Arabidopsis thaliana: one gene and its partner. The protein of the gene in region 1 interacts with the protein of each later gene in a biochemical or structural test. Each region holds a gene or a part of one and is shown on either strand. Other genes may lie near its edges.

Region 1 (4,530 bases):
TTCAACGTTTAGTTACGAAGAAAATAATTGTGGATGTCGAGTGGGCTTTCATTATCCACGACTGTAGAGCAACAAGAATTATTCTAGCTGAAATGGGCTTTTAATAACACAGATATGAAATTAGATAGCTCATAACTCAGTATACTCTTTTTTTTTTTTTTTAAAGTAAAATAACTTACTTCCAAAACAAGTGATTACGGTGACGACTCAGACTGTCATAGTGTCATAGATTGGAAAACTAGTTTTGGTTTCTCTGTTATCCATAGTAAAATGTTGTCTTATGATAATGGGAATTTCACGGTGTACTTGGGAAAAGAATTAGTCGCAAACTCGTTGATTGAACAATGAATCTTCATCTAGACAGCCTTAAGCCTTTAGTTACCCTACAGAATCATTTTGATGATTTCCAATATTTTCTTGTAAGCAATGTGGCCATGTGGGTGTATTATTATTTTTGTATTTTCATCAAATGGTTCACGAGAAAGTTTACAGGACAAAACTCAATTCTGTCTCATTTTTCCTTATTACCAGGCACGTTCTTTGTCTGGTTCGGTCTTGTTTCCTGAAGCTTTTTTAAATCTATTGTTTTCGAGGTGTACGAAGAATCTTTCTAATTGCTTTTAAAGTGAAAGTTGTTTGAATTATTCAAAACTAATGAATAAATAAGGCATATTTCTCAAAATCAATCAAGCAAAGTTAGGCAGAGAAGATTCATTGAACAGATAGAGAAGTTCCAAAGAGACTTTATTATAATGCTAAACAAGTTTGGGGGTACAAAACATTACACTTTCGAGGGTGATGATACGCTATAACAAAGATCAAAAAGAGAGCTCAGAAGACTAATAAACTGTCTTTTAAATAGAAAAGAAATACAAAAATGAAAGAACAAAACAAGACTTAATAGATAGATATTATTATACCTCTATTTACTTCATCACACCTTTTTTATTTCGACAAAATTAAAAGAGAAACTCTCTATGGAAGAGAGGCTCATGAGATACCAATGCATAGAGCTTGAGGTGTGACTTGTACCATCCCCCAACAGCAAAATCCTGAAACAACCAAAAAAGAACGACAGAAGATTAATCCTGAAACCAACACTTAGGTTGTTTGTCTTTACGATTCAACAAGAAGAGCTTGTAACTGTAACTCACCAACACAGCTTTATTTACAAACTAAGGAACCATCGATCACTTCAAAAGTCTCCTTCCAGCATGAAATTGATCTCATCTAAGCTCCATAGCTCCACTGGGTTTTCCTCTTCCTGAGTCACAGCACCAGCATCTGCGCCAAGCATGGCTTCCACTTCTAGTGGGGTGTCCCACAAGGCGTTGTCAAGGTATGCCATCAGATCGTCTGACTCATCAGAGTTTGGTTTGAGCTTCTTGGCTGCATTGGTTTCTTCAACAAATGATGCTTCGTTGTTATTGACAAGCATTGAAGAGATCTCGGGTGTTTTAGGGCCGTGATCACTCCACCCGAACTCAGAACAGTCGAAGGAGTTACTGCCCTGATCGGAACTGAAATACTGGTATCCATTGTTACCTCCAGCATCGAACGAGTTTGTTAACCCAAACTGATTGTTGTACATCTGAGGCTTCTCTTCCATGAAACTCATATCACCAAAAGAGTTGTCAAAGGAGTTGTTGCAGTACTGCTGACTCAGATGTGTTGGCTGCTGAACCAAAGTTACGCTTTTGTTTGGTTTAGCCACTGATTTCTGAAGATTATTAGTCTTAGCACTAGGACGTTTCTGGGATACGACGCTAGGGTTCTTCTCCTCGGGAAAATTCACCTTAGCTTTCGTGCCACGGATTCTGCGTGCTGCAGCATCATAAGCTCTTGCTGCTTCCTCAGCAGTGTCGAATGTTCCAAGCCATTCTCGGGAGCCTTTTCTCGGATCACGGATCTCCGCAGCCCATTTTCCCCAAGGACGCTGCCTAATCCCTCGGTATTGATTCTTCCTCTTCCTCTTAGAAGATTTCTCAGCTTGCTCAGCGGACTCTACAGTTTTCTTGGCATATGCTGAACCTACTGTAGCCAAACACACACAATATCAATCATAAGCTGAATAGAACAAACAAAACTGCATCCCTTCAGGAGCTAAGGACGGTAAGCTGGTATATAATCAACATAGTAACAGCAGATGGTTACAAGACCAGTGAGATCAACCAATTCCAAAGACTAAGCTATAAACTAAGAAAAGCCTCTGAAAACCTAAAGATCTAAAAATTTCATGAGCTTTCCAATTCAAATAAAAGTTGAGATTCGAATCAAACCCAAATATATACCAGTGGAGACGAAAGCGGAAGCTACGGGCTTAGTAGTTGCGGTGAAGACGAAAGGCTTAACATTGACGAAGACATCATCATCGTCTTCGCAGTCAAAAGCCGAGTCATCCTTAAACCCTTGGAAATCAGCTTCGAAATCATCGTCAAGATCGAAGAAATCGGATCGCTTATTCGATCTCTTCTTTGAAGCTTTCACTTTGTTTTTCAGATCCGGCCAGATAAACTCGTTAGTGACGCGGAGGGACCTCGGCGGAGGTATGAAATCGGAGATTATAGCTCCTCCACACATGGTGGCTTCACGAAAGCTCTACTCTTTTTAGGGGTGTAAATGATCAGAAATAGAATCTTCGGGGCGAAATAATAAATATTCGATTCTTTGGGGTTCTCTTTTTTAGTTTTTCTTCTTTGTCTCGATGTTACTCTCCAGAAAGAATGAGAAAGGGTGGGTCGTATATTATATAGATTGATTCTTTACTATTATACCCTTACCTGTGACTCGTAATGGCTGTTATGTGTTTAAGCCTTTAAGGTGATTTGTCATGGTTTGGGTGGCTGAATATAATTTTACAGTTTAGTGCTTATTATATAATGAAAAAATGCAATAATTGGTGTAGATTCTTTTGATGTTATCACTATATATGGAAGATAATCATGCAATGAAAATATCTAATTTTCATAATCCACTAGTAGATACTAGATAATCATGCATTGAACAAATGTTCTCATAATTAGCTAGTAGACCAAACGTGTTTTACAAATATATTGAAAAGCTATGTTTTGGTATATTTGATTATTTATCAACCCTTTAAAATATGTAATATATGGTTTTATAACAAAATAAGTTAATACAAGGTAAGTTGCATCCCAATGTTGTCATATTTGACTGTCCTTAGAAATGTCAAAACTCAAAAGTAATTTCCCAACTTTTATAATTGACGCTTTTTGAACATGAAACACGTACGAACGTTCTAAAGTTAGAACTAATTATTCTTGTGGTTTTCAGTTTTGCATGGTTTATGATCTGGAAGTCCAATACAATCGTCCGTTGTGAACCTTTTAGTGTGTAACAGGGAATGATTTATGTAAAAAGATTCTACACATTTTGACAGCATAGTTTATGTCAAAGAACAAAAATTCAAGGAAAAAAGAAGAAAAATTAATACACATCTTTAGCCATTATTAGCAATGACATCTTCCACGTATTAGGCTAACATATATAGATGCTTCTAGCTAGCAGTAGAAAAAGATAAATTTTAATCCCAGATAGTTGCCAACTTTCAAGTAAGTAAACAAATCAATCATGTGTGTTAGAATCGACGAGATTTGTTGAGATTTCAAAATAAATGAACCCCATCCCTAGATGATATTATCATGGAGTGGCAATATTGGAAATACCAAAAATGAGCTCATCTATGGGCGTGTTTGTGTTACACGGAGTTCATTGAATCTTGAGACTTGGAAAAGAGATAAAAGAAAGACAAGTTGAGCAAGTGGACTCTACAAGGCTTTGCGTTGCCCGAGTCCCACCTTGTTACCACACGCTTAAGTCTTAACGCACATCTTCAAAACTAAAAGATCATCAACTATTTATTGTTAATTGCATATCAATTCTTCTAAATGAAAATTGTCCGGTGTATCTTAACATGTTTAAGATACCCGTTAATCTTCATAGTTTTTTCGAAATCATATTCCGAAGAGTTGAAGATGGATAGTAGTATACGTTTGTAGTAAATCAATGTGTATATCTACAAAAGATAAAATAATACCCCCAAAAATCCCAAAAAAGAAATAAGTAGAGAAGATAAAGTTAAGAATGCAAAAGGAGGTAGGACCATTATCCTTTGGTACGATTGAGACAAAGCTCCAAAAATAGTTGATCTCAAGAAACAGAAGATGATGTAAGTTTTGAAAGCTACCCATCCGTATCCCTGCAATTATTTTTGTTTCCGTTATTAAATGAGCTGTAGAGTATAGACAAGCAAAATTTAAAATAACGAAAATATTTAGAAAAAGTAATTAAAATGAGCACTATTTTATTATTATATCTTATGCTAGGAAAATGTAAATGAAATTATTTTGTTCATTTTTGAATGGTAGTAGGTGATCTGCATCTAATTTTAGATGGCTGTAAAAATCTAGAAAGGTTCCAATCGAATATTTCAATCTCTCAAATCTAAAGGCTTTATTTAACTCCTAATCTGGTTGTCTGCCACTACCACCAGTTAACTACACACCTGCA
Region 2 (5,486 bases), about 17 Mb from region 1:
CCTAGGAGAAGGAGATTTACTTGAGAAACATAAATAAGAAAAGCTTTCAACCTGGAAGCTGACGATGATGATGATTAAGAAGAAGATAAGAAGAAGATTGTGTAACTTTATTTTTCTTGTGTTGCTTTGTTGTAATTTGTTTTTGTATTTTTCTCGATAGGGATGGTTTTTTTTAATCGAAAATTTTCTTTCATCTTTTTTTTCTTCTGACGGTAAAATATCATAAACCTTTGAATCCAATATGGAATGTGTTCTTGATAACTATTCTTATAAAACAACAAACTTGAAAATTTTAATCGATTTCCAAATGATAATTAGATAGCTTGAAATTTTGTTGGATTTGAAAATCAGTAAGAAAATGTAGAATAAACTATTAACCTTTTTAAAACAAAACTTTTAGGCAAAATGCTAATTTTATTATTAAGTAACATGGTGTGTTTTTTCAACTTTGTAGACTAAAGCAAGTTAGTATATAAATCAGTTATGAAGCAACGTAACAATAAGACACTTTGGCCGAGTGGTTAAGGCGTTTGCCTGCTAAGTAAATGGGGTTTCCCCGCGAGAGTTCGAATCTCTCAGGTGTCGTATTATTTTTATTTTCTTTTCCTTGTCCCCTAACTTTTTTTTTTGACAGATTTGTTTAGAAACGATGATTATATGGTCGTAGAAAAATCCAATTTTTTTTTGAGAGTACATGTCACATGCGCACAGCGACATCCGACACGTCTATTATTTTCTGTTGAATCATCTCACTTCATATGGTTTTCTTCAACAATTATTTCACTTCTGATTACAACAAAAAAACTTATTTTTATACTATCATATGATATTTTCTTGGCAATATAAAAAAAAAAAACACCGCAAAAATACATTCACACGAGGGGAGACAAAAAATAAATAAGAACCCCCACAAAAACAGACATCTTCCACCATTTTCAGGCTTTCATCATTTATTAAATTATAAAGTTTCTTGGATTCTTGTTAACTTAAATATAAGCTGCCAAATATATATCAGCTTACACTTATAATGGTCCTGTTTTAATTGAATTTAACCTTAAATCTCATTGGAAAGTGATTGACAAAATTCAAAAAAATTATGAGGAAAAATGAAAATTTGAAAAGTGAAAATAAAATAAAAATAAAAACTCAAATGATGTGTGCGGGAAACGAGCGACGTCGCGTTATTCGATGCACGAACTCGAGCCAATAAGATGTTTTTAAATCTAAAAATGGCTATTAGATTCGTCATTACTTTTGTATTTTTCCACAATTTAAATTGACTTTTGCCGGAGATGTAACTTTTAAACTATTTTACTACTTCTTTTTGTTTTTACTCATAAAGATCACAAAGATTCACTCACAAGCGTATGTATATCTGAAGCAATTAAAAATGAGAAAATATTTGTCCTTTTACAGTTTTTGTTTTTCTTCTCTGTTACAAAAATGTAATTACATCTGAAAACAATACTAGAAAAAAGAAAGTAATCGAGCGTTGTAACGCACCATAATGGAGAAAATAGTAATACAATTATGAAGATAGTACAAAATCTCAGATGAAAATATAGTAAATAATTGTAATTAAATGAGATAAAATCAATTTCTAAAAAAAAAGTAAAACCACCTTCGTGAATTGTGATTCGGTGTTTTTAAAAAGTGGGGAATAAAGACAAAACAGAGACCACCACCATTAATGGCTTTCTTCACCGATACGAACAAGACAGGACACAACAAACTCAATCCCAGCCTCCTCCTCCTCCGTCTTCTCCCTTATTCCCTTTTCGTTTAATCCCCCAATTTTTTCAATTAATCCCTCCTTTTCTCCTCTTAATCTGAATCCGAAGCAACGCATAATCCATAACAAAGTCTGGAAAATTTCTTCCGGGTAAGAGAAAACTTCTTCTCTTTCTTTTCAATTTGGGGTTTTTTATTTTGAAATCGGGAACAAAAGATCCAGAATTACCTAATTCCGAAATTTATTATCGGGTTGGATTATCGTGTGACGACGAATCTAGCTTGCTTTTTGGGGGGGGAAATATAATTCTCGGAAGGTCAATTTTTTTTTTTGCTTCATTTTGTTGTCTTTGAATCTTTTGGTTTATGAATGGATTGTTTTGAAATTGTTTCATAGGTCAAAGAGACAAAGATATTGTTGAGATTTATGATATTGGGATTTGTATTTTTGAACACCGTTTCTCTATAGATTTCTGCTTTAACCTGATCCTTTTAATTGCAAAATTGTGAAACTTTGCTTGCACGATCTTTGTTTAGCTTTCACAGGTTAGATGCGTTGGTTCTTGTTCTCTAGTTAGATCTATTTTCATGTTTATCTCTGTTTAGTTAGATTGAAAAGAGAATAGGTTTTTGTTTGTTCTCTTGGAATTTTTCTCTTTTGATGTTTGATAGTCCTGTGATTGATTACTGTTTAACTGTTGAAGTCATTGGAATGTGCAAAGGTCTAGCTTTGTTCATAGCTTTAGGCCTATTGCTTTGTTTACCTATCTGAAAGTGCATTTATTGTTTTGCTTCAAATGTTTGATTATTTTATTTTATTCTTTGTTGCTTAAGAAGCTATAAAAAGTAAAAGACTTGATCAGCTGAACCAAGTATCTGCCCCTTAATCTACTTTTTTCCTTCTCAATATATCAACTATATGTATTAGCCTTCTCAATATAAGCTTGTATTGCTAATGATTCCTTTTTTCCTGCAGGATAATAAAGAGATCCATTAGGAGTAAATTATCTGACAAGAGAATACAAAGGGCAATTTCATTTTAGTTGAATTAGGGATTTGGGCTCGTCATGGCTCCTGGAGGCAGTGCTTTGAAAGAAGTCATGGAATCTAATTCAACGGGAATGGATTACGAGGTTAAAACGGCAAAAGTGGAAGTTAATAATAACAAACCTACAAAGCCAGGGAGTGCAGGGATTGGAAAATATGGGATCCATTCGAACAATGGTGTTTACGAGCTTCTTGAATGTCCCGTCTGTACAAATTTAATGTACCCTCCAATTCATCAGGTCAGTAGTATATGAGCTTGAACAGATTTGTAATTGACTAATTGCAATGTTTCATGTTCTAAATGTTATTTAATTCTACAGTGTCCGAATGGCCACACATTATGTTCAAACTGCAAACTGAGAGTGCAGAACACATGCCCTACATGTCGCTACGAGCTTGGTAACATAAGATGCTTAGCTCTTGAGAAAGTTGCAGAGTCTTTGGAAGTTCCATGCCGGTACCAAAATTTGGGGTGTCATGACATTTTCCCTTACTACAGCAAGCTTAAGCACGAGCAGCATTGCAGGTTTAGGCCTTACACTTGCCCTTATGCTGGTTCTGAGTGTTCGGTTACAGGTGATATCCCTACACTTGTCGTTCATCTCAAAGATGATCATAAAGTCGATATGCATGACGGATGCACCTTCAACCACCGTTATGTAAAGTCAAATCCACATGAGGTCGAAAATGCTACATGGATGCTTACGGTAAAACTTTCTTTCGATATGTTTTCTTCTTTTTATCAAAGGTTTCTAATTTAAAGTCTGATTCAGGTTATTTCTTCAGATGAAATTTTTATGCAGGTTGTGATTTTATATCATCATATGACTAAGCTTTTACATTCACCTTCTTTCGCTGTTATCCTCAACCATGAAATATTCCTGGCTTTAGCTCTTTTCTACAAAATACAGATTGGATTCTTTAGAAGGAACTATAGGAATCTCTGGCTCTGCTCTTTTATGCTATTTTTGGATTTCTATTTTGCCTATTAAATTTTGACCTTGAACAATCCGGTGCCAAACTCCCTTACTAGCTGCTATTCCGGTTCCCGCTTTGCTCTTCTTTGTTAGTCCAATTTTACGGTCTCCTTAAGTACCTACCATAGGGTCTCTTAGTCCCACTTTAATCCTCACACTTAAACTTGAATCTCAGTTACTAAAATTTTGTTTCCAGGTGTTCAACTGTTTTGGGAGACAGTTCTGTTTACACTTCGAGGCGTTCCAGCTGGGAATGGCTCCAGTGTACATGGCATTCCTTCGTTTTATGGGAGATGAGAACGAGGCGAAGAAGTTCAGTTACAGCTTGGAAGTAGGAGCTCATGGACGGAAATTAACATGGCAAGGGATCCCTAGAAGCATCCGTGACAGTCACAGGAAAGTCCGGGACAGTCAAGACGGACTCATCATCCCAAGGAACCTCGCACTCTACTTCTCTGGAGGTGATAGGCAAGAACTCAAGTTGAGAGTGACTGGACGAATCTGGAAAGAGGAGTAAACGAAAAACGAAAAACGAAGAAAAGAAGGAATCGATTGAAAAATGTTGTACATAAGAAGAAGCCTCGTGGAAGAGCTAATGATCATATGGAAGATTTGAAGTTTGTTGTCTGGTTTTAGTGTGGTATAATGGATTCTTCTCCAATGGGAATGAAGATGAGATGATGATAATGACAAATCTTCTATGATGAATCAGTTTGGAGGAGCCATTGTTACTATTTTGTGGCTGCAAGAACTATATTATCTCTGTATTTTTTGTTTTTTTTGTTGGGATTTCTTTTGTGGTTTCAGAGAATGTAGGAAAAAGTAAGACATGGTTTTGGCTATGTTCTTGTTGTAAAACCAAGTTCAAAACAGATTGGTGCACTTTTTATCTTTTCACAATGGTGATTTTCATTCAGTTTAGACTTGATATAGCAAGCTCGATGTTTAGGCATTACAGCATGATGACAACACGACAACACCTTACCCACATAGACACACTTTTACTCATTTGAGGAAAGGTAACTAACAAATATGAAAACCAAGCAAAATTTTCTATATCTACAACGTAAATATCTTTTCCTTTTGTTTTTCGTTTTTGTTGAATCAACTCTTTTTTCTATTGCAAAGTTTGATATTTTGATTCTCCATTTGTTATTCACCTGTTCATTCTCTTTTTGGTGCACGATCTCTTGGCTCTCAGAGTTTGTAGTTAGTCGTAGTTGTGCAATCATAGTAAGTGGTCTCATCATATCTTGTTGCAGAGAGAATTTAGACTTTGTGTTCTTCTTCTTAATGTTTTTGACTTTGTGTATGATTTTGTCTGGTGTATATATAGTTACTAAAACTCGTACGAATAGTTTCTTTTTCACATTGTGTTTCTTGTATGTCGCCATACAAAGCTAGATATCTCTTTCCCTGCAGAATAATACAGAGCACACGGAGACGGAGTACATATTGTTCAGCGCAAGTGAAACCTGGATTTGAACCTGATACATAAATTTGTTATCGTTTGGTCATTTTAACCGCTCCCTCTAATATTTACCTCCTTTTTATAAGTTACACATCTTTTACATATCTCTCTCTCTCTCTCTCTCTCTCTCTCTCTCTCTCTCTTTCTTTCTAGAATATATTGACGCAGCCGCGAATCTCATCGTCATCGTCATCGACCAAGAGGAACCCTGATTTGCGGCTTTTCTTCCTTTCAATCTCAATTCGATTCGTTTTCTTTCT

Evidence for each region.
Region 2: the proteins of RAP2.2 (region 1) and SINAT2 form a complex in vitro, tested with the Arabidopsis thaliana proteins (one study listed by BioGRID).

Annotation. Positions count from the first base shown.
Region 1 is NC_003074.8:4,736,421-4,740,950, forward strand, and holds RAP2.2 (uncharacterized protein), read right to left. Parts: upstream 2,717-4,530; 5' UTR 2,581-2,716; coding exon 2,280-2,580; intron 2,035-2,279; coding exon 1,196-2,034; 3' UTR 1,155-1,195; intron 1,053-1,154; 3' UTR 726-1,052; downstream 1-725.
Region 2 is NC_003074.8:21,486,814-21,492,299, forward strand, and holds SINAT2 (uncharacterized protein), read left to right. Parts: upstream 1-1,648; 5' UTR 1,649-1,882; exon of another isoform or gene 1,883-2,277; intron 2,278-2,707; 5' UTR 2,708-2,798; coding exon 2,799-3,017; intron 3,018-3,098; coding exon 3,099-3,485; coding exon of another isoform or gene 3,486-3,539; exon of another isoform or gene 3,540-3,951; coding exon 3,952-4,272; 3' UTR 4,273-4,705; downstream 4,706-5,486. Other genes in the region: AT3G58030 (RING/U-box superfamily protein), read left to right, coding at 1-24. UniProt on the Arabidopsis thaliana protein: E3 ubiquitin-protein ligase that mediates ubiquitination and subsequent proteasomal degradation of target proteins.